Linked DNA regions of Mus musculus. The protein of the gene in region 7 interacts with the protein of the main gene of each other region in a biochemical or structural test. Links are inferred from orthologs where the notes say so. Each region holds a gene or a part of one and is shown on either strand. Other genes may lie near its edges. The genes, in order: Parp1, Sumo1, Ube2e1, Ube2w, Pml, Sp1 and Rnf4.

Region 1 (3,500 bases), on a different chromosome or scaffold from region 7:
TGCCTTGATCTTGGGGCCATCCCTGGGCACTGCGACATTACACAAAGAGGAGCGACTTCATTGCCATTGAGGCAGGGAGTGTGGGCCTCCTCCTTTTGGGATAATAAAAGGTCTGGGTTATACACTTTAGGAAGTCCAAGAGGTAACTTTTAGGGGGAGACTGGAGTAAGACAGAATCTCACTCAGGAACCCTGGCTGGCCTGACGTTCACTATGTAGCCCAGGCTACCCTCAAATTCATAGAAATTCTCTTGCCTCACTCAGTCTTTACTGGACTGTAAACGAGTTAATCAGGGCTAGCAAAATGGCTCAATGGGTAAAGCCACTTGCTACTGGCCTGATGACCTGAGTTTGACTCCATCATCCACATGGAGGCTTACAGCACCATCCCTAACTTGGCCCAGGTACCTGGATGCCCTTTTCTGACCTCTTCCAGCATCAGGCAAGCATGTGGTACATAAACATATACAGAGGTAAATAAAACACTCATTCACATAAAATTTGTATATATGATTGACTTACTTTGAAACCTCAACTCAGGTTACTAGACTAGGTAGACAGTGTTCTTCCTGGCCAGGCTCTACCGCCAGTGCCAGGCCCATCAGTGAGCCTTCCTTCTTCTGCATACCCTTGATGGGGCTGGGCTGGCTGTTTCTCCAAGGCTAGTATGACCAATTCCACCCTCAGGTTTACACCCCCCACACTCAGGCAAACCCCTGTACAATCAAAACAAAGCACAGAGAATCTCTTGTGCACTGTATGGCATCACCTGTCAATAGAAAAAGCTGTTGGCCTATTAGCTCAGGCAGGAATAGAAGGTGGGAGTTTCAGTGGGAGGAGAGGATGCTGGGATAGTTAGGTGCAGAAAGGGGATTAGCTGATGGAGATGGTCTGATGAACCTAAGAAGAGGTAACTAGCCATATGGCAGGACTTAGAATAAATGGGGTAATAAGATACAAAGTAGGGGAACTAGCTGAAGCTTTTGGCCTAGGCATTTATTCATAAGTAATCTAATCGCAGAATTGTTATTTTGGGAATTTGGATGAGGATGGAAAAGCCTACAATTACAATAAAGCCAGGCAATCCTCTCAGAATACATTTGCAAAGTATGAAGGAGACCACTTGTAAGTAAGACTGGATCCCTTATTGCATGGGTCCTGGTGTCACCCCCTCAGAAACCTGTTTCAAGAGACAGAAGTGACTGGAAATGCCTGGTCCCCATTATCTTTCCCAATACCCACTTGTAGATTTCCCTCACTTAAGCTCAAGCAGGTATATATGCGACCTCTTCTAGAACTGGGACTTTAAAATCTTGATTTCAATGTCTACAAAGTGCCTACTTTTTGCTGGTGTTATGTAGCATCTCATTCATTCTCACAACTATCTGCCAGGAGGTATGGCAGGGTGAGCCTCCACGCTCCTTGGGACAGCAGGCCAGGAGGGTTGAGCAGCAGGCTGCTCCTCCCAAGATGGAAAGGAGAGCGCTGGCCATACCGACACCAAGGAAAGACTTTAACTCCACTGACTGAGGCACCTACAAGCTCACTCCCTGCTTTCCACTCCCAGTGCTGGGCTCTCAATACCAACATCCTTATTACTACTCCCCATGGTAGGGCACACAGTGGGAGGCCAGAAGGTCTGTGAGCACAGGGCTCATGGAAATAGCAGACCTCTCTCTCTCTCAGTGATGAGTGTGCACTGGTCTCGGTGAGCAGGGTCGGCGGGCGGGCGTCTGTCACAGAGCCGAGGACTCACCTTGAGGGCCTTCTCCAGCTTACTACTATCCTTGTCCTTCCCTTTCTTAGATTTCTTTTTGGCCACTTCATCTGTTCCATCCACCTCGTCACCTTTTCTCTTTCTGAAAGAAATGCAGGACTTTATAAGAACCCACAAGACCGATGCTCAATGCAACCAGGTAACATGTCACTTTAGCCATTTTAGCTGCCCACCTGCCCTCTTAGGTACAAGTGCTACCTGCAGCCAGGCAGACAGGAGAGGCCACGCCCTTCAGGACCTTTTCTGCCAATAAGGAGGGGCCTGGAGTTCACCCTAGTGTCCAGGACGACCAGGACAGACCAAGGGCTCAGGTCACACTTCATGCTAAACCCCACATCTCTGGCGCAGAGTGACAGGGAATTGTGGAAAAGCCAAACACAACTGTAAGAACTGAGCCTGGAGTGAGACAGGGAGCTGCTCCCCAGATCTCCACGAGGCCTGAGTTCACCCTGGTACTTTCTAAAGCCACCTGCTAGGGACCAGCAGAACTTGTGGGACTATGGCGATAATGAGATCAGGCACAGAGCTGGGCATGTTCCACCTCTCCAGCATCACGTCATAAATAAAGACAGCCGGAGAATCCCAGCACCCTGTGCTGTGACAGTTCGAGGGCACCCTCACCCACTGGCCTGACTTGCTCACTTCACATTCCAAAGCCACCAGTGCTGCTCTATGAACCTGTGTTAGGACCACAAACAGTGCAAGAAGCTGCTTGGTGACAGTGGCATGGGTGTCGCTGATGAGCATGGTACAGTTCCACAAGGCTCAGCATGCTCATTAATAAGACTGAGACCCTTCCCATCCTAGATGCCGATTCCACATGTGGGCCCATCTGTTCTGATTCCAGGCCCTTCCCGCTGTTCATCTTTTTGTGAACAGTCATGATTCTCCCAGAGATGCAGACACAGAGACACCTCTGCTGCGTGACTAAGGCAACGTTAAAGGAACACAAATGCAGATCTTGGAAGCACAGCCATCACCAGAGCAAGGAAGCTTGGATGGCCACAAGGGTGGCCTTGTATGAGAAAGTGGCAGTCTGCTGTACTAACGCCTGGGTGCAGGAGTCGGGAGAGGTTCAGAAGCCCGGGAAGATGTCATGGTCGGCGAGCTGGTGGGTGGGTACTGGAGCAGCAGATGCCCTCTGCTCCTATAGCCTCAGAGCTCCTCTCTTTCTGATCATCATTATCAGAGGAATGGAATCCACAGGCTCCCCTAGAACTGTACATTCTAACCACATCCCACCTACCCTTCATTCTTGATGGCCGGGAGCTGCTTCTTCAGAGCTTCTTTGTCTTCTGCAGAGAGGAGGCTAAAGCCCTTGAGCTGACTGGCACTGTACTCAGGCCGGAAGCCCAGCTCGTCCCGCTTCTTGACAAAGCAAGTTGGATGGTACCAGCGGTCAATCATACCCAGCTGTGGCTTCTCTGGATCCACCATCTTCTTGGACAGGCGCATCTGGCCCTGTAGGGAAAATCATGAGGTATCTAGGGAATAACAAGGCAGGACAAGGACCAGCTAACCTAGGGCCTTGAGTCCAAACAAAGGCACATGAAGCCAGCTTGAAGCTCTCAAAACATTCTGAGTTTTACACCATCACAGACTGTGAGGTACCCTTAGGCCCCAGCACTCACACTCCATGAGACTGATACATGACCTGCTATGCTAATAAAGACCTTGCTTACACATCTTAAATGACTACCTACATACCTATACTTAGACAAGTA
Region 2 (4,129 bases), on a different chromosome or scaffold from region 7:
CTAAATTCAATTCCCAACAACCACATGAAGGCTTGCAACCATCTGCAACATCTACAGTGTACTCATATACATAAAATAAATAAATAAATCTTAAAAAAAAAACCCTAAAACAGTCTTACATAAACACCGTTGAAACATTTTAATTTTGTATATGCAGTGAAATAGGGATTTAAATTCTTTCTCCTTTCGCATGTGAATGTTCAGTATTTTCATTAGTAATTATATTGTACCTACTAATTTTTAATTTTGTATGGGTGTTTTTGTCTGAATGTGTTTATGAACCGCATTCAGGCTTTGGCTTGGTGCTGAAAAAAGTATCTGATTCTTGGGACTAGAGTTACAGGCAGTTTTGAATGCATGCATGGGTGCTGGGACTCAGACTTGAGTCCTCTGGAAGAGTAGCCAGTGCTCTTTGACTACTGGGTCATTTATAGTTGGCTCATTACTATTTACAGAAAAGATTATTTTACTAATGTCTTGTTCTGTGAAGGGTTTTTGATTTAAGTTTTCATTTTTCCCCCTTTACTTATTATAACCTTAATCCTCCTTGAATGCTTGTGCAAGGTCACTGTATTCAAAGGAAGCAGTTTAGGTCTTTCTATGACACAAGGCAACTAGTTTATGCGTTGGAAGGCGCTCCTGCCTACAACTTCAAAACTTTCAGTAGCATTTTAGTTGTCTGTAGCCACCAAGACTTTGTTCTAGCTGGGGGTGTGGTGGCACTTGGGAGGCAGAGGCAAGAGGATCTCTACGAGTTGGAGGCCAGTCTGGTTGACATTGCAATGTTCTATAATAGCCAAGGCTATTAGTGAGACCCTGCCTCAAAACACAAGAACAAAAGATGTGTCCTGAAGGGTCGTCTTTTTGTGCCCCCTCATCTCCCCCGCCCCCAACAGGGTTCTATGTCCTGTCCTGGAACTCACTTTGTAGATGAAGATGGCCACGAACTCACAGAGATCCGGTAGCCTCTGCCTCTATCACCCGGAGTCACGAATGTGGCAACAGCAAGCATGAGGGGCCTATAAAAATACTATACGGGTAATTCACTATATTCAGTGAGGGTTGGTCCGGGCCTCAGAAGCGCGCAAGTCGTCCCACCGGGAGGAGCCTAAGCAGTCAGTTTGACCCCAGACATTCGGCCTGCAGGCAAAGCGCTGGTCTCCCTGAGGGCTGCGGCAGCGGGCCTGATTCTCCCTCCCTCCGAAGTCCTAGCAGTTCTCTTGCTCCAGGCAAGTAGTTTACAACCTGGAGGATTTTAGCCCCCGGCCTTCCTTACGGCGTTTTCCCGCTTCCTTTTCCCGTCTTCGCTAACTCGCCTCTGCGCGCAGCGGAAGTGACGCAAGACGTAGAGGAAGTCCCTGCAGCCGCGGTGTTGTGCTGTAGAGAAGGGACGGATTTGTAAACCTCAGAGTGAGGTTCTGCCTGCCGGAGGCCGCAGTGGTGCGGAGACCCCCGGGTGAATCCACGTCACCATGTCTGACCAGGTACCGGGCCGGGGCCTTAGGGCTCAGGGCCGTCGGCCGCGGGCTGGGGCCCTGGACTGAGGCGCGGGGGAGGGGGCGGCTGGAGAAGGGGGCTGCCCGTGGGGAGGGGGCCGCGAGGGACGCGGGGCGCCTGGCGGAGTCGGGCCAGGCCGCCTGGGACCCCGGGGCTCTGGGTTCCACGCGCCCTCCGCGCCCCTCTCCGAGGCCCCTACCCCCGCGCCACCCGGCGCCGGGGCTCTCTCGACGGCGCCCAGGTTTCTCGCGGGCTCGCAGGGGGCCCAGGCCCGCTCCCTTGTCCCCGAGAGCAAGCTGAGGGGAAAACGACCGTTTCCCTTCGGACGACGGATGGCAGAAACCAGGCCCTAGGCCCAGTTATGTAACGGGAGGGAAATCCCCGACTGGGAGGCTAGGTGGCCCTGAAAAGCAGCTCGACTCCACTTTGGGTTCTTGGTCCCGGAGAGTGGGGGGCGGCCGGGGAGCCGTGTCTGAGGTGACTGGGAGCCCAGAGGACGCTGCTTTTCCGTTGTGTTTGCCTGGAGGGTCCGTCCATCTCTGCACACCTCAGTCTTTTTTTTTTTTTTTTCCTTCCGGGGGTGCGGAACGGTCCGCTCTTTCGCTGTACTTTCCATTTCTTACTCGGGATTGGTCCATCAACTCTCCAGTTCTCAGAGCGCTCAGAATAACCGAGAAACAGCAAACTGTGTATGGAGTGCCACCACCAACAAGCCATTTCGTCTGGGCTTTAACCAGCAGATGCTTGGCACTTTAAAAAAAAATATAGCACGTTTTTTGTTCTTTGATAATCAGATGACGCATTTAGATTATATGCACCCCCAAACCTCTCTTCCAGAAGTTTCTGAACTAATTTTCGAAGAAATAGAGAAAAAAAAAGTTATCCGTGTTGTACAATTGCAGAATATTTGCAGAAAGCTGTCAATTAGTAGTAAAACAGTGTGTCTCGGTTTTGGAATCAAGGATTTGCATGGTATTTGCCTTCAAATAGGAGTGACTCCTTGCCACCTAAATTTTTCTTCATCCTATTTTAGTTACTACCTTTGTGGCTAGTTTTTATATACATAAGGTTTTGGTCTGACTTTGCTTTGGTTTGCTCAGATGACTTAATTTTCAGAGTATTTTTTTTTTAACTTTTTCTTCTTTTGTGATAATTATTCAGTAAACTTTTTCATTCAACTTCACAATGTAGTTGGACTTTTTTAAAAAAAAAATTTGTTGTTGTTGTTTGAGACACGGATTTTCTGTGTAGCCTTGGCTTTCTAGGAACACTCTGTAGACCAGGCTGGCCTCCAATTTATAGAGATCGGCCTGTTTCTGTCTCCTGAGTGCTGGGATAAAAGGCTTGTGCCACCACAGACTGGCCAGGGTGGTTCTATTTTTATAGCCTATCTACACTGTAGACTAATTGTGGCATGGATTTACTTATTAATAATCTGAATTAATCCTCTTTTGGGATAGAAATGACTTTATGAATAATTTGTTTATGACAGTTGTTTACTTAGTTACCAGCTCAGAAAGATCAGCTGTAAATGCTTAAGTCCTGGAACTCTGTAGACCAGGCTGGCCTTGAACTCAGAAATCCCCCACTACCTCCCAAGTGCTGGGATTAAAGGCGTTGCCACCACGCCTGGCCTTTGTTTTTTCTTTTCTTTCTTTCTTTTTTTTTTTTTTTTTTTTCTTTTTTTTTTGGGTTAATGCTTAAGTTTCATCAGCCTTCTATTTTGGAAGAGCTAGAAAGCATGTTAGCCTGAAGAGAGGGCAACACACAGAAAGAGTTCTAAGTTTTAGGATTAGTTTTGCTCTAGTTTGAACTCACATTATATAAGGATATGGAGAAAGAAAGGAGGACCCAAGGGCACACACAGGGTTTCAGGGGATCGCAAAGTCACACTGTTGCTTGCTGTAGCACTCACCTCACTGGTCACCGGGGTTATTAGGTGTTGGACCTAGGGCCTCCCACATGTGCTTGCCAGGCAAGTGCTACAGCCTCATTTTTTCTTTTACTTTGTTTCACTAAGTTGCCTAGGTTGGACTGTAGCACAGCTTGCCTTTGAACTTGAACCTGGACTTCTCTCAGCCTTGCAGAGTAGCTGGGATTACAGAGTTATACTGTCACGCCTAGATGGTGTGTGTGTATGTATGTGTGTGTGTCTGTTTTTCTCATTCATGGATATTCAGTGAAGTTTTTAAGAAACATGACAGAAAAATGGAGCAAATCTTTTTTGTAGCCTTACAGCTTCTCACAGTTTCTTCTGTGTCTATCTCCTGAGTGCTGGGATTAAAGATGTCTACCACCACACCTGGCAAAACAAGTCTTTTTAATTGAGCTACACATTAAAGCAATTTGCATATGAAATAGTGCTGCTACTCTTAGAAATTTTGTCTTTAAAAAAAGTAATAAAAATGTATGCTAACGTTTTTTAGGGGTTATTTATTGATTCAAGTTAAGGGTTTCTCTGTAGCCTTAGTTGTCCTGGAACTTGCTCTATAGATCAGCTTGTCCTCAGATCTGCCGGCCTCTTACTCCCAGAATGTATATACCACCATGGCTCAGTTGATAGGTTTTTATTTTTTTTAATTTATTGTATATATGAGTACATTGTAGCTGTGTTCAGACACAACAGAAGAAG
Region 3 (4,202 bases), on a different chromosome or scaffold from region 7:
GTGGATATGCTGTGAGCTTTCTTTATATCATGTGTGTGTGGTAACTGAAGCCACTGTTGCCATGGGAAGCAATGTCAATTTGAATGAGGTAATTTAAAGTGGACCATGGAAATTCGAGTGCTGTTGTCTGCTCAGTACACAAGATCTCTGTGAACTTGGATGGCAGGGGTCTGTTCCCTTCAGGGTAAACGGCAAACTGGTAAGAAACTAAGTCCTAATTTAATGGTGGAATTAAAAAAAATAAATTTCGGTACAGTGCCACACAAGGAACAATTTAGTGGCATTGTTGTGTGATTATCCTAAAAATATTATTTGAATAGCATCATATTGGAGTAAAAAGAAAGTAGGGTGCTTTCTAGAACTTTTTTTCCCCATTACTAAGACTCAGACATATCTAATTTAAGAATTCCAAATCCTGAGGCAGGCGGATTTCTGAGTTCGAGGAGAGCCTGGTCTACAAAGTGAGTTCCAGGACAGCCAGGGCAAGTCCTGTCAAAATCATTGGCTCAAGGTTTATTTTCAGTGATCTTATAATCCCAAGCCCGGTCGTAGTTACCTGTCCCGAACCCCAATTGCATACATTAAAAAAAAAAAAGTCCACATCCTTTTCAATAACAAGTGAAAGGGGAAGGAGGGTGGTATCTAGTATAAAATTGCACATGCCTGGTGTCCTGAACAGAATCCCAGTCTGGGTTTTTTCTCACAGGCGTGACCTCTGCTCCAAGCACGTAATTGCCAGAGGGAGGAACAAGTGTCATCAGCTCAAAGGAAAAACCTGTTAGGGGTCTTTTCCTTTCCTTTCCTTTCCTTTCCTTTCCTTTCCTTTCCTTTCCTTTCCTTTCCTTTCCTTTTTCCTTCTCTTTCCTTTCCTTTTTCCTTCCCTTTCCTTTTTCCTTTCCTTTTCCCCCTTTCCTTTCCTTTCCTTTCCTTTCCTTTCCTTTCGTTTCTCCTTTCCTCTTTTCTTTTCCTTTCCTTTCTCCTTTCCTCTTTTCCTTTCCTTTCTCCTTTTCTCTCCTTTTCTCTCCTCTTCTCTTCTCTTCTCTTCTCTTCTCTTCTCTTCTCTTCTCTTCTCTTCTCTTCTCTTCTCTTCTTTTCTTCCATTCTTTCTTTTCAAACGAATCACTTTTGGGGAGGAGTCAAAGTCCTCGCCAGGAGAGTACCATCTTTTCCCCACACCGGCCCCCTCACTCCCCAGCCTTTTCCCAAAGCCCTCCTGGGAAGAACTTCCCCTGGTCACCCCGGGCTCCACCTGCCCCAGTGGCCCCCAATCCCGCCCGGTTGCCTCGGCTCCGCCCGGCGCGGCGTCCCCAGGCCAAGCCGGGGTCGCTCGGGGCTCCCGGGCCGCGGCCCCCAGGTGCGGCGGGGGAGGGGCGCGGGGCGGGGCGGAGAGGAGGAGTGGCGCGGAGCGTGTGCGGCCGGGGAAGCCATTGCCTGGTTAATAGTTGCTGTTGCTGCACTTCCGCTTCTCTCCCAGTGAGAGCGAGACACGAGTGGCCAGGCCCAGTCGCAGCCGCAGCAGCAGCCGCGGCGGCGGCACGGAGCAGCCAGACACAAAGAGAGGTGCGGGGGCCCCTCAGGGCGGGCGGGCCGCGGGGCCTGGGGCCGCGGGGCCGGGGGACGGGCGGCACCGCCGGGCCGCGGGCAGCAGGGCCGGGCGACCGGGATGGCGTGGCGGGCCCGGGCGGCGGGGGCCGCGCGAACTGTCAGAGCGGCCCGGTCCCCGCGGGGACCCGCCCGCCCGGGGCGCATTGTGCGCGTCGGCCTGCGAGCGCAGCCCCGCGTGGCCCGGCCTGGCCAGGAGCCGTGTCCCCGCGGCCCACGCGGCCCACGCTCGGCTTGCTCACCCACTCTCGCTGCTCGGCTCGTCCCGACCTCGCCAAACTCGAGCGGACGCCGGGAGGCCTGGGGGACCGCGGCGGCGGCTCCCGGCCCTCCCCGGGCCGCCCCCGCGCGATCGTGGCCCCCGTGTCTCTTCGGCCGGTGCGGCGGTGGGCCCCGAGCCTCTGCAGGCAGCGGGGGCGGCCCGGCCCGCGCCCTCCTGACAGCGGAGTTCCTTCCCTCTTTGCAGCGCCTGCATGGTCTGTGTTTCTGTTTTGTTTCCTCCCCCTGCAGGGGCCGTTCGCGGGGTGGGGTGGGGGGTTCGCTATGTCGGATGACGATTCGAGGGCCAGCACCAGCTCCTCGTCATCTTCGTCCTCCAACCAGCAGACCGAGAAAGAAGGCAGCACCCCCAAGAAGAAGGAGAGTAAAGTCAGCATGAGCAAAAATTCGAAGCTTCTCTCCACCAGCGCTAAGAGGTATCCCACTCCTTTCTCCACAGGCATCCGAGCTTCCCAGTGGCCTCGTGCTGCATGTCAGGGAGGGAGGCTTCAACGACGTTCTCGTGAGTTCTCAGGCAGGAAAATGGGGCATGGGAGTCCCACCTGTTTTCTCTACTGCTCGCTGCTTCTGGTTTTGTTAGTGCCCTCGTCCATATGCAGGAGTTGTGGTTGGCCTCGTCCGTTTCTTGTTGAAGTTTCAAGAATCCTCATTACTTTTATGAGTGACTCCCAATGTGATTTCAGAGTCTTCATCCTAGTAATCACGAATCTCTGACTTCCCGGAGGCTGTCATCATACTTCATTATTAAGAGTACCTTCCTGGGCAACTCTGTTAAAACTAGTTCTGACCATCTTTCTTCCTCTTCACCTGTTGCAGGGGTGGTGTTTTCTGAATAGGGTTTTCTCCATACATCGCTTAAGGAATAACTAACTCTCATTAGCGGTTAAAAGAATGTCATGTTTTCTGGCAGAATTTGAAGAACCTTTGCCTGTTTGGAGAGTTAAGGGAGATGAAAGAATCAGTGAATAACTGTAAAATTATTTCAGTTATTTTTGGATTTTTTTTTTCTTTTCTGTTTAAAAACTTCAGTTTGACACTTTTCAGAAAGACTTGTTTTACTAGACAAGGTCTCTTTTGGCCCAAGCTGGCCTTGAACTTAGCACTTCTATCTCAGCCTCTTGATTGTTACAGAAGTGAGCCACTTAGTTCACCCAGCGATAATCTCTCTCTTGTGTAAAAAAAACCAGGTGGATAATTTACCTCTGTCAACCTTAAGTCACATTCTCTGATCCTGTGTTCCTTAAAATAATCTCTAGTAGATACCTGGGAGCCTGCCTCTCCTCTCCTTTCATACCCCCTTTTTTTGTTGAGATGGTTGGCCATAGTAAGGAACAGAAACTCGGCTGCTGGGGAATGGCATTCTTTAAAGAATTTTAAATGAAATGGAAGGTCTAAATGGCTTCGGGTCTCTCTGCTGAGTAGTGAGCCTGGAACTCAAAGATTGTCAGTTTGTTCTGTTGTTTTCCCTGAACTGAAATTCAGAAACTTGGTATGCTGTCTTAGTGAGCTAACTGGACTGATAGAGTAACTTCAGGTCATTTTAAATGGTTGCTGTTGAGGTCTGGAGAGATGGTTGATGCTTTGGTAAAACTGTTATCAGTTTCAGTGGTCTGATTATATCTCAGTCTCTCCAGGGTCTTTGATGAACCCCTGTGAATCTCCCAGAACCTAGATTCTATCCTTCTTGCTCAGGATGGCCTTTCTTGATCAACCCCGGCCTTGAGCTCTCTGTTCTACTTTTGACCTGTCCTGCCCCAGTGCAGGACATTAGCTGTGATGTCACTCCTGCCCCAGTGCAGGACATTAGCTGTGATGTCACTCCTGCCCCAGTGCAGGACATTAGCTGTGATGTCACTCCTGCCCCAGTGCAGGACATTAGCTGTGATGTCACTCCTGCCCCAGTGCAGGACATTAGCTGTGATGTCACTCCTGCCCCAGTGCAGGACATTAGCTGTGATGTCACTGGGGCTTTTACGTTGTGCTAGACATAAGGAGAAAATGGACAGGTATACAAAGTAGTTTTCTTTTTGTCAGTATAGTACAAATAAATAGATTTTCCCATAGACACAGCTTGTGTATGCTTAAGGAACTTAGAAACTTAGTTCTGGGCATAGTAGTACAGGCCTTTTGTCAGCTCAGCCCTTGGAAACAGAAACAGACAGATAGATGTCCTGTGAGTTCAAAGTGAGTTCCATGAGAGTCTGTCTCATGAACAAAATGCCAAACAAAAACATGTAAAACTATTTGATAGCTTGGATAGTAGTGTACTGGCCTAGCAGGCTTGAAACATCATCAAGAATGGTAAGCCCAGGAGTAATGGT
Region 4 (4,052 bases), on a different chromosome or scaffold from region 7:
AAAACTGGCAGATTTAGACATCTTTTCCTCTCTTGAACACATTTCCTTACGGATGTTCTCAGAGGAACATCGTGCTCTAGCTTAAGTGTGAGAGTGATAACCTACATCACCATTATATTTATATTTTAGAGAAATGTCTAAAAATGAAGCCAAGTCAATAAAAATAAAGATTTAAACTTTCATCCGGGTAAAGTAAAAGCCTTCTACTCAACATGCCATCCTCTCTGATTCCTTTAGAGACAGGACATGAGGTGCAAGCTTTTGGCTTCCATTTTTCGTTTGGTATTTAAGTAAACGACATCTTTGGTTCCGGAGGAGCTTTAAAAATGTGACTTCTGATAAATGCTGGCAGAACTGGTGCATTCCTAGAATAAATTCTGTATGCTCAGCGATTTCTACTCAAGCTCACTCATAGGTCGTCTGATCATGCAACTGCCCACCACAGAATAGGGTGAAGAGAAATCTAGGCATGGCAGAAGGTTTAAGTATTAAGTATTAAGTATTAAATTACGTAAACTATATTCATTATATTGAGATTTCACGGCTAGAGTCAAATTGTTAATCAAAAGTAAGACTGATGTAACAACGACTCTTATGGTATACCTGGACTTTACAATTTAGAGGGTTAGGGAACTAGAAAATTGCACACAAAAGGGAACTCCATTATTCACCCTCCTTCCCTTTCCAGCACGTTTCAAATCCAATTGTTCTTGCTTTTAAGATCACTGCTCTCAGTTTTCATTCTGTCCTATAGGGAAACCTGTGACTCTCTGCCCCTCAAAGTAGAAGCTTCCTAGGTCTGCAAATACCAGAAAGCATCTCCAGGCGAAGTTGTATCTGCCTCAGGAGCGAAAACACGGTAGGTGTAAAAAAGACATATGAAGGGGGTGGGCTGTAAATCTTACACTTGTAGCTGGAAAAACAAAATGAGATCCCCTCCCTGCCAAATGCCCGGACAGCATTGTGACCTCGGCATAACGCTTCAGTCCGACCTGGAGCAGCGCCTCCGCCAGCACTGAGGGTGGGCCCGCGTATAAATTGGCTGGGATGCAAGGTACCTAGGGAGCCCGGCCTGGCCCCGCCCCGCCCCGCCCCGGGCACCCGCGCGCTAGCCAATCGGACACGCGGGCCCCTTCCCATCGGCGACTCCACCCCCGTGCCCGGGATGTTGGGCCCCCGCGGCGTGACGCGAGCACGGCGGCTCCGCCCCCTGCGTCTCGGGCCTCGCTGGCCTTGGGGGGATGGTTTCATCATGGCGTCAATGCAGGTGAGCGGAGCTGCTGCAGCGGGGAGGGCGAGGGGGCCATCGAGACGAGGTGAGCGTCTGCGCGGGGTCGGCGTCCGAGACCTCTGGGCCTGGCTCCGGGCGACCTTCCCTGACCTCGGGGCGTCGGGGGATCGCCTGGCGGCGAGCCGAGCGGGGGTGTCGGCCGGTGGCCGCGGACAGTAGCGGCCGCGAAGTTGTGGCATAAAGGCGGCTTAGGGGGAAGAAAGGGCGAAGTTCGTCGTGCGCTTCGCGGTGGGGGCTCCGCTCCGCGCCCCTACGCGAGGATGCCTGCCGCTCGGCTCCCTGGCCACCGCCGGGATGCTTTTCCCCTCGCGCTCCCCAGCGGGGTGGAAACAGCTGTGCCCGCCGCCGTCACCCGCGGTCGGGGCGGCCGGAGACCGGCAGAGCCCCTCGCCGAGGACGGCCGCCTGCCCACGGCGCTCCGCGGCCTCTGCCCGGCCTCCCACGCGCAGCCTCGGATCGCCGGACTCATGCTCGTTCTTCTCTGATCTTCATCCGGTGCCCGGTGGGTGCCTCCTTCTATCAGCCCGCACTCTGGGCATTCCCTGGCAGCCCACGTCTCTTCTTCGAAGCCGCCCTTCGTCCCTGTCCCCAGCGTCCTGTGCTACCACAACGTGCGAGCTCGTGGGCCTGCTCCTCGGCCTCGATAGAAACTCGCCCTCTTAAATTTTTTTTTCTTGCGATGCCCCACCCTTGCGGGATTGGTAAGGCCGTGGCTCCTTTGCCTTTCTTTCCCAGACCTTTAAAACCTTAGTTTGGTAGGAGACGCCTGTTAACCTGTGCTCTGTCAGACTTGAAGGTGTTTTTTGTAGCTTCCAACTTAATGTATTCCCCCCCCCCCTTGCAAATCCAATAAAAGAAAAAATTTTCAGGCAAAGATGGCAACCACAATTGTAGTTTCTAGAGATTGCATTATCTATAGCCGGCATTTAATTTGCAGATAGGGCTAGCGGTGTTAAAGCACATAGGAAGAGAGAGTAGAACTCTTGTAGCGTGTCAGCGGAACGCTTTTTGGAGTTTTAACATCATCCTCGAGTAACATCCGCATTTTCCTTAGAATTTTTGGTTTTTGTTTCTAGAAGAATAAGCAAGATCTCGTTGTTGGCGCTTCTCTGCTAGCAATGGTTTGCATTCTTACGCATTTCCCTCCTTCCCCTGTATCTTCCTTCAATCAGCTTTCCTTATGGTATTCTTTTTGCATTTGCTTGTACTTTTGGCCTTTCCTGCAGTAGCATTCTTAGGTGAAGAGGTGTCACGAAATGGTGCAGTGAAACAAGAACAATTTCAGGAAACGTTATACTTTACTAGTCTCCCCAGAGACGTTAGAGAAGTTTCATCATTTGAGGCCAAAAAAGGAACTGTGGAACATCAGTTGACAGCAGATGGGCTATATGATTGCTTTAAGATTTTTATCTGTATTAAGACATTATTTGTTACTAACACTTGACGGTGATCTGTCTTAAGATACAGGCATTATTTAAGACTAAAAATGAAGATTAAAATCCACACTGGGATTGTATCTGGCATGAGAGCTGGTTAGCTTTTATACTTAGTTTTTGGAAAAGGCAGATTTGTTTGTAAGAGATTGCTATTTTTGGAATTTACTTTGTCTTCAGCAGTGGGGGAAAGTGCTTTTTATGCCTGTTTCTATGCCTCAGGCAGTGCTGTGGAAGAGTAGCAGCGTCTTTCTTTTGTTGGATTAGAGTGGGAACGGATCCTTTCTGTTCTAAAGTTAAATCTTGACCTTTTATATGTATCTCTTTTAAAGTATCTGATCATTTTTCCTGGAAATAGTAGCATTTTGACACAGATTTATTTCTTATTTCTTAATTGTGTATGTTATCTCTGGGTGGGTATGTGGGTATGAAAGTACCTGTGTAGGCCACACCTGCTCTGGATCTGAGTTACAGGTGCTTGCCAGGTATTGGCTATGGGTGCTGGGAATCAAACCAGGGTCTTCTCAAGAGTAGTTCTTTCTCTTAACTTCTGAACTGGCTCTCAGCTCAATAGCAGAATCACTCTTTGGTGTGGTTTTCATTTGGTATCTTTGCTCAAAGTTTATTTCCTGACCATCTTTACAGCAGAAGTTAACTCTTTTCAAAATAACTTAACATAACACTATAAGTGATCAAATGTGTTCATTAATTCATCTTACCCTAGGGGATATTGTTTTTGCTAAAGAAAAGGTTACTTAAGCTGCTGTATTTTAAAAACATGCATACATATGTAATGTGGGGTTTGATTACTTGGTAACAATGAAATAATTTTTATATATAGTAAAACCAAGTAAGGAAAGTCTTCACTTCTAACTAGAGAATGTGGACTTTGAGATTATAATTACCTTTATGTTTTTGTTTTGGCTTTTCTGGAACTAGACCAGGCTGACCCTAAACTCTCAGGTCCACTTGCCTCTGCCTCCTGAGTGCTGGATGAGATTAAAGGTGTGCGCCACTACTGCCCAGCTTGCTTTTATGTGTTTTATCTTCATTCATTGAAACCGGTTCTTGCTGGGTAGCCTATGCTTACCTCACATTTGCGCTCTTCCTGCCTGGGTCTCCTGAGTCCTGGGCTTGCAGGTTGTTCCACTGTGTCTGACTTTGCTGTCATGCATCCTGCCAGTGCTTCTCAACTTTCTTCCATTCACACTAAGTACAGTAAGATAGATGACGATGTTGGCGGCTGGAAGAGCCCAGCCCGGAAGCTGGCTAGGAAGGTGAGGGATACAGGGTTTTGTTCTCATGCCCATGTGCTGTGGGGAAGCTGC
Region 5 (4,226 bases), on a different chromosome or scaffold from region 7:
ACATCACATAATTTAAAAAATTGAGGAAAGAAAACACAAATATTTGTACACAATATAACTGATCTTGGCCTAATTTTTTAAAATATTTACTCAAAATATTTATATGAGTACACTGTAGCTGTTTTCAGACACACCAGAAGAGGGAATCAGATTCTATTACAGATGCTTGTGAGCCACCATGTGGCTGCTGGGAATTGAACTCAGGACCTCAGGAAGAACAGTCAGTGCTCTTAACCGCTGAGCCATCTCTCCAGCCCTTGATGGGCTAATTTTAAAGGCCAAGGGATACTGGTCAGCTTAGATGTATGGCCTCCACAGTCTCCAGGATGTTGGGTCTCCCTTTAGAACCCATCTCACCACAACTCTAAGTTTACAAAAGCAGGAACCTGTTACCATCCCTTTTAATCAGTTTCACATAGGAACAGAGAATAGGCACATAGGGGCCAGAAAAGTGGGTGGGAACAGACTGAAGTTAGAAGCCAAAGGCACTGGCCAATGAGAGTGTCAGCAGGTGTGTGTTTTCCTCACCCACTAGTTTCTGGATTGCTTTTTCTTGGTCAAAAAGCTAACTTTGTATCTCTTGTTTTCTTCACCACTGCTGGCCAGCTCTCCCCTTGCCTCCCTGTTGTCTACCTCTGTACGATGCACAGTCATCAGACCCATTCAACGCTGTTCTGTCACCACGGTCCTTCCACTGACTCAGAACTAACTCTGTGTCCCACAGTTACTTCTCATAGGCCACCTGCCTCAAGGTCATTCAAGAGACGCAGCTGACACGCTGTAAGAAACCCTTCACCAACTCTCAGATCATATGTAGAATCGGTCCATTTCTCACCGTATGATTCATCTCATCTTCTCTGGTATCACTTCGCAGGAGCCCCATCTTAAATCTGAAAATGGCCCTGACTACTTCCCAAACTGGCTCTCCTGTTTCAGACCTCCACTCCTTTCCAAGTGTTTGTCTCTCTTTAAAATGTCTGAGCAGCTCTGAATTCCTGGTCATTTTCTATCTCATGCTCCATTCTCAGCTGAGGGATGCCTTTCCAGGCAAACCCATCCCAGTACTGAGTCGAAGTCTCCACTAGGGTGCACTTGGGAGGCTCTCTCAAAGAGGAGTTTATTTCTCTACCTGGCTTTTAACTAGAAAGACATATAGCTGTGGAATGAGTCCAATAGCTCACAGACAGGGAAAAGCCTGTCAGCTCTGTTTCTCTCCTGGTGTGCATGCTGCGTACGTGGCCGGATCTTTCCTTGTTCTGCTAATGAGCCATGCCCGCATGCCGGGCTTGTTTACTTGCTTGTTTGGTTAACCTTTCTGACTCTACCAGAGTTACTTCCATAGCTCCCTAGTCTTTCTCTTAACTTTGGAAGGGAGATTATAGAACCAGCCTCTCCGCCCCTAGACCCGCCCAGCCCTGTCTCACTTCCTCTCGGGAGGCGGGCTCTCCTCGGGCAATCTCTCGCTCAGTTTTCTGGCTCAGATCTGAGACCCATTTCCCGCCTTCACAGACCTAATCAAGAAATGGAAACTGAACCAGTTTCCGTGCAGAAGGTACCTGCACCCCCTGGATCTCCCTGTCGACAACAGGACTCTGCCCTGACCCCCACGCCCACCATGCCTCCCCCAGAGGAACCCTCCGAAGACTATGAACACAGCCAAAGCCCTGCAGAGGTACTACTGGGTTAGAAGGTGTAGGGCTATTAGGTTTTTTTATTCGTTTACTTTGGTCGAGGAGTTGAGGATGAAGAAGGTCGTTATAGAGAAGTAAGTTAATGGGTTAGTGTCCTAAAGAGACACCAAGGTCCTGACCCTCCTGGCTGGGCAGAGGTAGAACTGATAGCCTAGAGTAAAATAGGAACAGGGGCCCGGCGGTGTGGGGCACACCTCTAATCCCAACACTTGGGAGGCAGAGGCAGGTGGATTTCTGAGTTCAAGGCCAGCCTGGTCTCTACAGAGTGAGTTCCAGGACAGCCAGGGCTACACAGAGAAACCCTGTCTAAAAAAAAAAAAAAAAAAACCGGGATGAGTTGGATTGTAACTGGGGATAGTTGGATTGTAACTCCTACTCCCTGAAGCCTTGCCTGAAGCGCCTACCTCAGATGAAAGACTATAGTCCTGTGGAAGGCCTGGCCAGGAGTCTTATTTGCTCTGGCCTGGAGCTAAAGGCATGTCCCAGACTTGGCAAAACTATAGTCGCCCTCCCTGACCCCCACACCAACACTTCCCGTTTTTCAGCTGTGGTTGCACATCCCAGGAGCAATAGTGCTTGGGATGGTAGGGCTGGAGGGAGGATGACAAGTTCCAGGCCAGCCTAGGCCACAAAGAGAGTTCAAGACCGCTGAGGGCATCACAGCAAGACCTGTTTCAAAACAAAACAAACAAACAGACAGAACCTGGCTCAGACCAAAGTGCCTGCTAAGACCAACAGGATTCACACAGCTGCTTTCTCTTTTGATTTTCATCAATTTATTTTATGTGTATGAGGTTTAGGGATTTATTTTATTTTATCTTTTGGAACACAGGGTCTCACTCTGTAGCCTTGGCCGGGCTGGAGCTTGCTTTGTAAGCCAGGCTGGTCTCAAATTCATAGAAACCACCTGCCTGCCTTCTGAGCTCTGGGATTAATGTATGCGCCACCAAGCTCATTTTCCTAAGGAAGCCTAGTTCATGGCCTTCCTGGGAGTATTGCCTCAACCTTCCATACTCACCCTGGAAGGAACTACCTCCATCCCATTATTCTTCACTCATTTTTCCCTTCACAAAAAACACAAATAAGGTCACATTGCCCTAACTTTTTATTATTAGCATTATATAGCTAAGGATTAAAAATACTAGTTGACATTTATGGGTACTTCTCTCTCTCTCTCAATCTCTCTCTCTTTTTTTTTTTTTTTTTGGTTTTTCGAGACAGGGTTTCTCTGTATAGCCCTGGCTGTCCTGGAACTCACTTTGTGAACCAGGCTGGCCTCGAAATCGCCTGCCTCTGCCTCCTGAGTGCTGGGATTAGACTTATGGGTATTTCTCATGTGCCAGGCACCATGGTATTGAGCTCTTTGAACAGTAGCTCCACCTTCTATACCTATGAACTAACTATTATTATTTTATATGACATGACTGGAATTACACAATATTTCTAATTTTATGGCAGGCATATTATTTCACCATGTCTTCAAGGTTCATCCAGGTTGTTGAATGTATCAGGATTTCATTCCTCTTTCAGGGTGAATACTATTTTGTTACATTTGCAGACACATTTTGTTCATGCGTTCATGTGCTAAGGACACTTGGGTCACTGTGACTTTTGTGGGGGTGTTGCTAGGCACATTAGTATATAATTATATGCTTGGATATTTTTTCCAGTTCTTTTGAGTATATATATGGAAAGTGGAAGCTTGGTCATACGGTAGTTTAAGTCTAACTTTTTGAGGGTCATCCTGCCAATTGTGTTAAGCACTTTATATGAAGTTGATACTTTTCCAAACTTGAGTCCCTTAAATGCAAAGATGTATCTATCCTATCTTGTATCTCAGGACCTACTAGTGAGTCTAATGATAAGCAGATGGGTGCCCGGTAAATTGTGCAGTGAGAGCTGCAAGGCTCGAAGTAAATGAGGAACTGGGGTGCCGATAAGCCAGGACATGATCCAATGACTCCCAGGAATGGAATGTGAGGTCCTACCCTCTCCAATCTCCAGCTGAAGGGATGGGCGGCCAGTGGAGGGGACAAGACGTCTGGGCTTTCTGTAGGCCTCACTTCTCTCCTTGGTTCACTAGCAAGCCATACAGGAGGAATTTCAGTTTCTGCGCTGCCCGAGCTGCCAGGCCCAAGCCAAGTGCCCCAAACTGCTGCCTTGCCTGCACACGCTGTGCTCCGGATGCCTGGAGGCGCCTGGCCTGCAGTGCCCCATCTGCAAGGCTCCTGGGCAGGCCGATGCTAATGGGGAGGCCCTGGATAACGTGTTCTTCGAGAGCCTGCAGCGGCGCCTGGCGGTGTTCCGGCAGATCGTGGATGCTCAGGCTGCGTGCACCCGCTGCAAAGGCTTGGCCGACTTCTGGTGTTTCGAGTGTGAACAGCTCATTTGCAGCAAGTGCTTCGAAGCACACCAGTGGTACCTCAAGCATGAGGCCCGGCCCCTGGCTGATCTCCGCGACAATTCAGTGAGCAGCTTCCTCGACAGTACGCGCAAGTCCAATATCTTCTGCTCCAATACCAACCACCGCAACCC
Region 6 (4,166 bases), on a different chromosome or scaffold from region 7:
AGGAGCATCCAGCCCGTAAAGTAGGACACATTAAGTGATTAACTGTATTAGTTCCAAGTACTAAACGTGGTGACACCAGTCAGTGACAAAGTTTAAATGAGGAGAAAGAAGGCGAAATGGAGGCCAGAGATTGAGGTGCCTAAGGCAAAATCTTTAACCTTTGTGATTGCAAAAGGAAGTAACTAGGTTAGCGTGCTTTCTACTAAGAGGGAAAATGGAAGTAGTTTATGAGAGCTTGGCTTCACGAAGTTCCCCAGCGTGCGTTACTCTGAAAGCTGAGTTGGTTTAGCAGGTCTGGGGCAGCTTAAGAAAATGGCGCTTGCTACATCTTCCCGAAAGACTTCCATATTGGTCAGCTCAGTCGACTTGGGTTTTCGCGTGCCGTCACCAAGCTGTCGTCCCGCCCGCCGCCGCAGGGCTTCCACCCACGGCCAGGGGGAGCCGCCCGCCCATCCCGGCAGGGGTGACATTCGAGGGGTGCTGTGTAGGAGCGGGGAAGGGACAACCCGAACAGTCTCGGGCGACGCGACACTCTCGCCCTCACGCGTCTCGACTCTGACACTTGTGGAGGGCTCCACTCAAGCGCACACCCTAACGAGGGAAGGAAGCCTCCCGAGGAGGGCCAACATGGCGACCAACTCCTTTTGGCACAGCCCGGTTCCCTCCTCAGGATGGGCGGCCCTGTAACGACCATTGGCCAAAGCTAGAGGCGGTGCCATGCTGCCTTCGCTGCCTCATTGGCTTGAGTATCGGAGGAGGAAGCCTGTTCTCCTCTCCCCATTCCAAGTTCCAGCCTCCACCTTCTCCTCGGCGCGTAATTGGCTGTTCGTTCACGTCAATACGCGTCCTGTTCCGGCTCTTTTCAGTTATCGTCCAATCAGAACTTTCTTAACTGCCCGCCTGAATTCTGATTGGTTTAGGAAGCTTGCTCCTATCCCATTCCGGCCTATTTCTTACTCTTCCCCCTACACGGACTTTGCCCAGGCATGCCCAGGATTCTGGTTGGTCGTTGTCCTGTCTTTCTTACTTAAGCTCTTCCTATCCCTACCGCTCACGGAGCCCGCCTGGAGGTTGACTGGTTTCTCTGCAAGTCCATCGTCATCTCATCCCGCCCACCACCACTTCCTGAGTTTCTAATTGGTTGCTAAAACTGAGAGGGCGGCCTTTCTGGGCGGAAACCAAGTACGCAACTTGCTCTTACACGCCTCAGCGAGAGAGCGAGTCCTACCATTGGGTAGGCAGCCCGCCTTTCCTCTGCAAGGCCCTCCTTTCACCCTCCCTCATTGGGCGGGGCAGTAGATAAGGGGCGGGGATTAGGCCGGGCTTGTGGTGCGCTGCTCCCTCCTCCTTACCCCCCCCTCCCTGTCCGGTCCGGGTTCGCTTGCCTCGTCAGCGTCCGCGTTTTTCCCGGCCCCCCCCAACCCCCCCGTACAGGACCCCCTTGAGCTCGCCCCTCAGCTGCCACCATGAGCGGTAAGGATGAGTCCACTCCGAGCCTAGGGGTGGGAGGGGAGTGAGGGGGCGCGCGCGAGGACCGACCGGGCGGTCCCCGCTGTGAGGGGGGGCGGGCGGGAGGCGGCGGCGGCGGCCTTGGTCCCGCCCGGGGCGGAGGGAAGGGAGGGAGAAGGGGCAGTGGCGGGGCCTCGGAGGAGGAGGGGGATGGGCTACCCGCCCCGGGGGAGGGGGCAGCGTGGCCTCGCCCGCCCCCTGCCCGCCCCGGCCACGAGGGACGGGCCTTACCCCCCACTACCCGGCCGGCCGCCTGAGGCTCCTCCCGTCGGGGGCTGGCGCCGCGGGGGCGGCCCGACCAGTGCAGGCCCCGCCTGGGCCAACCGCCTCCCCGGTCCGCCCGCCCTCCGGTCGCAGCCTGCCCCGGGCCCTCCCCCGCACCCCCGTAAATTTCCCTTCCCCCATCCGACCCGCCCTTGCCACGCCTCTATCCCCGAAACCGCCCCTTCCTTCTTTGGACCGCCTCCTCAGCCCCAAACCTGGGTTCTAATCCCTAGACCCTTACCTGTCCTCTCAGATGTTTCCTCACCTTCTCTTAGGATTTACTCTTTCTCAGTCCCTTCCTGTTATTGTTTACACTAGATCTTTCTTCATCTCTTATAGTCCTAATTTTAGCACACTTTCCATCCACCCACATGTTGGGTCTCCTTTTCCTTCCAGGATGCATTTTTTTTTTTTTTCTTTTTTGAGATAGGTTCTATGTGGTATTCGTAGTAACTCGAAGTTACTATTGCAGCCCTCAGACTTTTAGCTGTCTAGGTGCCTCTTCCTCTTGAGTGCTGGGATTAAGAGTGCTATCAACCCTAAGGAGCAACTCTTTATTTCTGAGACACTGAAATTCCAAATTCCCTTTCTCAAAAGGGCTATTTGTATTGGGATCAGTTCTTACTCTGTAGGCCTGGAAGACCTAGAACTGGTGAACCACCTGGCTCATCCTTCCAAGTCTTGGGATTATAGGTGTGAGTCACCATGCCTAGCTTCCAAAGCAATTTTTGAGTCATTTCTGGGGTTAATTTGTGCATAGGAAAATAGTGGCCTGTCTTGGGCACCATTAAGCTATGTGTCTATGGCTTTGGCATCCCAATTTACTATGTAGCTGAGGATTTCTTTGAACTTTTGCCTCCACTTCCAAATTCTGGGATTTTAGGCTTACCACCATATTTAGACCTATCTGGCTAAGATCTTTTTAAAAACTGTTCTGTCAGTCATTGCTGACGGTCAAATCCTTAATTTTAAATCTTATGTTGTTTTTAACACACCCCCCCCTACACACACACATACACTTAATTTATTTCTTTTGTAATTATTTTTAGACCAAGATCACTCCATGGATGAAGTGACAGCTGTGGTGAAGATTGAAAAAGATGTTGGTGGCAATAATGGGGGTAGCGGCAATGGTGGCGGTGCCGCCTTTTCTCAGACTCGAAGCAGCAGCACAGGCAGTAGCAGCAGCAGTGGTGGCGGAGGAGGGCAGGTGAGTGATCAAGGATGGGGAATGTGTTGAAAGGGTATAAATATTCTTAGAAACTTCCTTAACCAAAAATTCTGGGAAGAAAAATACAGTAGGGAAGTACACTCAGAAAGATAGGTGATCTAGAGGGTCCCCAGATACGAAAGTTGGAACAGTATACAGAAAGTGAGCATTTTGTTTCTGGTTTTTGCTCTATATTCCTGCATTGTTGCTGTTTTGTCTGTTGAATACTGCCCCCTAGGCCAGCTATTGGGTGCCACTAACTCCTTTCCTCTCTTCTGGCCAGGAATCCCAGCCATCTCCTTTGGCTCTGCTGGCAGCAACCTGCAGCAGAATTGAGTCACCCAATGAGAACAGCAACAACTCCCAGGGTCCGAGTCAGTCAGGGGGCACAGGTGAACTTGACCTCACAGCCGCACAACTTTCACAGGGTGCCAATGGCTGGCAGATCATCTCTTCCTCCTCTGGGGCTACCCCTACCTCAAAGGAACAGAGTGGCAACAGTACCAATGGCAGCGAGTCTTCCAAGAACCGCACAGTCTCTGGTGGGCAGTATGTTGTGGCTGCTACCCCCAACTTACAGAACCAGCAAGTTCTGACAGGTCTCCCTGGAGTAATGCCTAATATTCAGTATCAAGTAATCCCACAGTTCCAGACTGTTGATGGGCAGCAGCTGCAGTTTGCTGCCACTGGGGCCCAAGTGCAGCAGGATGGTTCTGGTCAAATACAGATCATACCAGGTGCAAACCAACAGATCATCCCAAATAGAGGAAGTGGGGGCAACATTATTGCTGCTATGCCAAATCTACTCCAGCAGGCTGTCCCCCTTCAAGGCCTTGCTAATAATGTGCTCTCAGGACAGACTCAGTATGTGACCAATGTACCAGTGGCCCTGAATGGGAACATCACCTTGCTACCTGTCAACAGCGTTTCTGCAGCTACCCTGACTCCCAGCTCTCAGGCAGGCACTATCAGCAGCTCTGGATCCCAGGAGAGCAGCTCACAGCCTGTCACCTCAGGGACTGCCATCAGTTCTGCCAGCTTGGTGTCATCACAAGCTAGTTCCAGCTCCTTTTTTACCAATGCCAATAGTTATTCAACAACTACTACCACCAGCAACATGGGAATTATGAACTTTACCAGCAGTGGCTCATCAGGGACTAGTTCTCAAGGCCAGACGCCCCAG
Region 7 (3,500 bases):
AAGGCAAGTGATTGGCCTCAGTGCCTGGACAGGACCTTCTGAGGGTACAGCTACTATGGTGGCAGTTTGTCCCTGAAGATCTCAAACAGAGGGAAAGGCTTTTAGAAGTACTAGGGTAAGTGGGTTAGGTGAAGATGGCTGAAAATGTGGCTTTTTCCTTAGAAAGGAGAAGGCCAAGGAGAAATGGGAGGAGGTTGCGCCAAGACCATGCTGACAGCTGTGTGGTGAGCAGTGATGATGAGGAGCTGTCTAGGGACAAAGATGTGTACGTGACTACCCATACTCCTCGAAGCACCAAGGATGATGGAGCTACTGGACCCAGGTAAAGAGCTCTGCTGCTGTTGTGTTGGGTGGAGGCCAGGGTATATAGATTCTGCATTTGCTATCAGGTATGTAAGCTCTTGCTCTAGAACAAGTATCTTCCAAGCAGCTAGGTAGGCATATTTGGAATACAGGGTTGGGTTCAGCTGTCTGCTCAGGATAGACCAATTGACAGACAGACAGGGCCATACATACTGACCAGGGTGTGCTTTTCGCTCATGGAGTGGTTATAAGTAGGTTGTGTTTACAGGTGCTACTAGCAAGAATGCTGGAAGCAAAAGAGGTGGGCGGGCTGGAGAGATGGCTTAGCAGTTAAGAGCACTAACTGCTCTTCCAGAGGTCCTAAGTTCAAATCTCAGCAACCACATGGTGGCTCACAACCATCTGTAATGAGATCTGATGTCTTCTTCTGGTGTGTTTGAAAACAGCTACAGTGTATTTATATATAATAAATCTTTAAAAAAAAAAAAAAAAAGAGGTGGGCAAGCCTACTTGTCCACATCTTCTAGACCTGTTCTTGCTTATTCCCCTTTTCAATGGCTTTTGGAGCCCAGCCCTTCAAGCAGTTAATTTCTCTTCAAGTTTTTTGGGTGCCTGTCCTAACTCAACAAAAATGAGAGACTTGAGAAGATATGACTGCGTATGTGAGGTTGCTTTACAGGGTTTAATCAAGTATTTTGAGTTTACTTAAAAACTGATGCAAAGCACTGTGATTTTAGGCCCTCAGGTACCGTCAGTTGTCCTATCTGTATGGATGGATACTCTGAGGTAAGTAACCTAGTTGTTTCTCCTGTTGGTTTTGCCCTACTTTACTCAAAAGTACTTGGAGAAAGTGTGTGTCAAAGTGGATTGTGCCAGTTGGTGGTGGGCCCTGTACATTTTATCTTTAACCCTTGTGCAAATCGATGTTTTCCAACCCAGCCCTATCTAGAAGCTGCTGATTTTTTTCTGAGGTTCCCCATAGCCACTTTGTACTGCTGCACCTGGGGAAGTCCTGTCTGTCACCTGTCACACAGACAGCGTTCAAAACTCTTGAGTGTACTGCTTTTTCTGATACAACCCAGGCCCTTCTTTGTTTCACTTGTCTCTTTGGTGATGGGTGGGTTCGGGTCTTTGTAGAAAAAGGGATACTTTAAGGCTGTTCTTTTAATGTCTTCTAGATTGTGCAGAATGGGCGTCTCATTGTTTCTACAGAATGTGGCCACGTCTTCTGTAGCCAGTGCCTCCGTGATTCCCTTAAGAATGCTAACACTTGCCCAACTTGTAGGAAAAAGATCAACCATAAGCGGTACCACCCCATTTATATATGAAATGTTCACAACTGCTCAGGATAGACCAATGGACAGACAGCCAGGCTGGCCTTTTCTGCATGGTATCTGCCTCCAGTTTCCTGAGCTCAAAAAGACTTTCAAAAATCAATGTCTGATGTAAACTGGTCTTTTGTTTTCCAACCCCTTAGATCCTTTTGTTATCTCGTTTGATGCTATGGAGCACGGTCCAGGGATCCTCCTAGATCAGCTCAGCATCACTGCCCCTTTGGGTGGTCTGAGCCCAGAGTAGGGAAAAAAGGAGTCGGGCATATTGGGGTTGAGCATCATGGCTCCAGCCTCTTTATGGAGCTTACATGTTGGCCAAGTAGTTTCCCTGTTGGGAAAGTTTGCCCCAGCTCTTGTGTGTGCAGAACCTTCCCAAGGCACCTGTCAGTTAGCTGTTCTGCCTGCCAGACAGTGACCTGGCCAGACAGCCCAAATAGCCCAAGGATACCAGTGCATGAGCTGCCCACGAAAAGCCACGAAAAGGTGGACTTTTAGTTTCCTTCCCACGAGAGCAGAGGTGACCTATGATTCCGCCTGAAACTCATCATTGGTGTGCAGTGTTTTCTGCAAATCCAGTGACTCTGCAGGACGATCCTGTTCCCTAAGAATGAGAAAGTGCAATAAAACCCGTTCTTCACCTGCTCTTCAGCAATCTGGAAGCTGTAGCACTGCTGGTATCCTCAGCCCAGTGTCGCCTATGGGAGCAGTGCTCATCCCACCCCATGTCTGTTCACCAGCTGTTCTCAGGAACCCTACCCATGCTCCAAAGTTCTTTTACTGGCACAGAACATTGAAGGCTAATAGGACAAGTGTTTGAGTGTCCTCTCTTTAATGCTAAGATGGGTCCTGTGTTGTCTACAGTGCCCTCCAACCCTCAGTTTTTCAGTTCCCACTGCCTAATGTCTGCTCAAGCATAGTATAATAGGAGGTGGTAGCAGTAGCAATGGCCTTATCAGCTGTTCACTTACATGCTTTTGCCCAAGTCACCGTTGCCCATTTGTCAGAGGTGTTGCCCTACTCAACCTCCACTGCCCTAGCTTTTCCCACACCCCTTGAATAGATAGGTATTTCCAAAGCTGCTTGCTCTTCTAGCCAGTTGAGCTTTGATCCTCTGGACTTTTGACTGCTCAGTGGGTTTTGGTCAGCAAAGCATGGTGCCTCTTCCAGTGGGACCACATAACAATGTCTGCTCCACCGTATATGTGTGGGAGACTCTGGTGCTCACGGAGACAGGTGGAAAATTGCCCCTGGGGACACCAGGCACAGGGCGGCTTGTAGAGGATAGGCCTTGAATGCCAGCCTGCCTCCACCTCCACACTACTTCCTCAGAGGGCTTCAAGCCAAACCAATAGCCTTTTTGTGTGAAACATCTTTGAGGTGGGAAAGGGACCACTGGAGCTTTGCTAGCAATAACTGACTTTCAGTGTAATGTTCTGAAGGAGCAGGGACTCAGCACAGAATTCACTTTAAATGGAGCTGAAGGAGTGGCCCTCCTCTATGTGAAAAGAAAATAGTTTTATTCTTCATTCTGACTTTCTAGCTGTTTGACTTCAGTTAGTTTGAATGAGAGTAATAGGTTTTTTTTTTCTACATGGACTCAGAGGGTAAGAGCATTAGCTCTCATCATTGTGATGTGTGTGCTCTCCTCTCCCCCTTGGATGTCACAGCCATTGATTTCTTTGTGGGCCTCATGGACTTGGTCTTGTTAGTCTAATGAAAGCCAGACTTCAAAGAGACAAGGCAACCATGCAGCCAGTTCACCAGTAAATGTGGTAACACCCACTTAAAAATTTGTTTTCTCCTCAAGGACGGTGTATGAAGTTGATCATAAAAGTTCTATTACTTTATCCTAAATTAAATTGA

What was found.
Region 1: the proteins of Rnf4 (region 7) and Parp1 form a complex in vitro, tested with the Homo sapiens proteins (2 studies listed by BioGRID and IntAct, with this or other methods). The link is inferred for Mus musculus from reciprocal best matches to the Homo sapiens genes RNF4 and PARP1.
Region 2: the proteins of Rnf4 (region 7) and Sumo1 form a complex in vitro, tested with the Homo sapiens proteins (5 studies listed by BioGRID, with this or other methods). The link is inferred for Mus musculus from reciprocal best matches to the Homo sapiens genes RNF4 and SUMO1.
Region 3: the proteins of Rnf4 (region 7) and Ube2e1 form a complex in vitro, tested with the Homo sapiens proteins (2 studies listed by BioGRID, with this or other methods). The link is inferred for Mus musculus from reciprocal best matches to the Homo sapiens genes RNF4 and UBE2E1.
Region 4: the proteins of Rnf4 (region 7) and Ube2w form a complex in vitro, tested with the Homo sapiens proteins (2 studies listed by BioGRID). The link is inferred for Mus musculus from reciprocal best matches to the Homo sapiens genes RNF4 and UBE2W.
Region 5: of the proteins of Rnf4 (region 7) and Pml, one has a biochemical effect on the other in vitro, tested with the Homo sapiens proteins (3 studies listed by BioGRID, with this or other methods). The link is inferred for Mus musculus from reciprocal best matches to the Homo sapiens genes RNF4 and PML.
Region 6: the proteins of Rnf4 (region 7) and Sp1 form a complex in vitro, tested with the Homo sapiens proteins (2 studies listed by BioGRID, with this or other methods). The link is inferred for Mus musculus from reciprocal best matches to the Homo sapiens genes RNF4 and SP1.

What each region holds. Positions count from the first base shown.
Region 1 is NC_000067.6:180,578,891-180,582,390, reverse strand, and holds part of Parp1 (poly [ADP-ribose] polymerase 1), read right to left. Parts: intron 3,238-3,500; coding exon 3,023-3,237; intron 1,859-3,022; coding exon 1,756-1,858; intron 1-1,755. UniProt on the Homo sapiens protein: Poly-ADP-ribosyltransferase that mediates poly-ADP-ribosylation of proteins and plays a key role in DNA repair.
Region 2 is NC_000067.6:59,668,035-59,672,163, reverse strand, and holds the start of Sumo1 (small ubiquitin-related modifier 1), read left to right. Parts: upstream 1-1,329; 5' UTR 1,330-1,472; coding exon 1,473-1,484; intron 1,485-4,129. UniProt on the Homo sapiens protein: Ubiquitin-like protein that can be covalently attached to proteins as a monomer or a lysine-linked polymer.
Region 3 is NC_000080.6:18,329,045-18,333,246, reverse strand, and holds the start of Ube2e1 (ubiquitin-conjugating enzyme E2 E1), read left to right. Parts: upstream 1-1,402; 5' UTR 1,403-1,560; intron 1,561-2,112; 5' UTR 2,113-2,145; coding exon 2,146-2,297; intron 2,298-2,320; exon of another isoform or gene 2,321-2,351; coding exon of another isoform or gene 2,352-2,383; intron 2,384-4,202. UniProt on the Homo sapiens protein: Accepts ubiquitin from the E1 complex and catalyzes its covalent attachment to other proteins. Catalyzes the covalent attachment of ISG15 to other proteins. Mediates the selective degradation of short-lived and abnormal proteins.
Region 4 is NC_000067.6:16,616,452-16,620,503, reverse strand, and holds the start of Ube2w (ubiquitin-conjugating enzyme E2 W), read left to right. Parts: upstream 1-1,252; coding exon 1,253-1,267; intron 1,268-4,052. UniProt on the Homo sapiens protein: Accepts ubiquitin from the E1 complex and catalyzes its covalent attachment to other proteins.
Region 5 is NC_000075.6:58,246,987-58,251,212, reverse strand, and holds the start of Pml (protein PML), read left to right. Parts: upstream 1-1,426; 5' UTR 1,427-1,522; coding exon 1,523-1,672; intron 1,673-3,774; coding exon 3,775-4,226.
Region 6 is NC_000081.6:102,404,950-102,409,115, forward strand, and holds the start of Sp1 (transcription factor Sp1), read left to right. Parts: upstream 1-1,366; 5' UTR 1,367-1,466; coding exon 1,467-1,473; intron 1,474-2,324; exon of another isoform or gene 2,325-2,466; intron 2,467-2,822; coding exon 2,823-2,983; intron 2,984-3,266; coding exon 3,267-4,166. UniProt on the Homo sapiens protein: Transcription factor that can activate or repress transcription in response to physiological and pathological stimuli.
Region 7 is NC_000071.6:34,349,750-34,353,249, forward strand, and holds part of Rnf4 (E3 ubiquitin-protein ligase RNF4), read left to right. Parts: intron 1-162; coding exon 163-322; intron 323-1,040; coding exon 1,041-1,089; intron 1,090-1,481; coding exon 1,482-1,631; 3' UTR 1,632-3,500. UniProt on the Homo sapiens protein: E3 ubiquitin-protein ligase which binds polysumoylated chains covalently attached to proteins and mediates 'Lys-6'-, 'Lys-11'-, 'Lys-48'- and 'Lys-63'-linked polyubiquitination of those substrates and their subsequent targeting to the proteasome for degradation.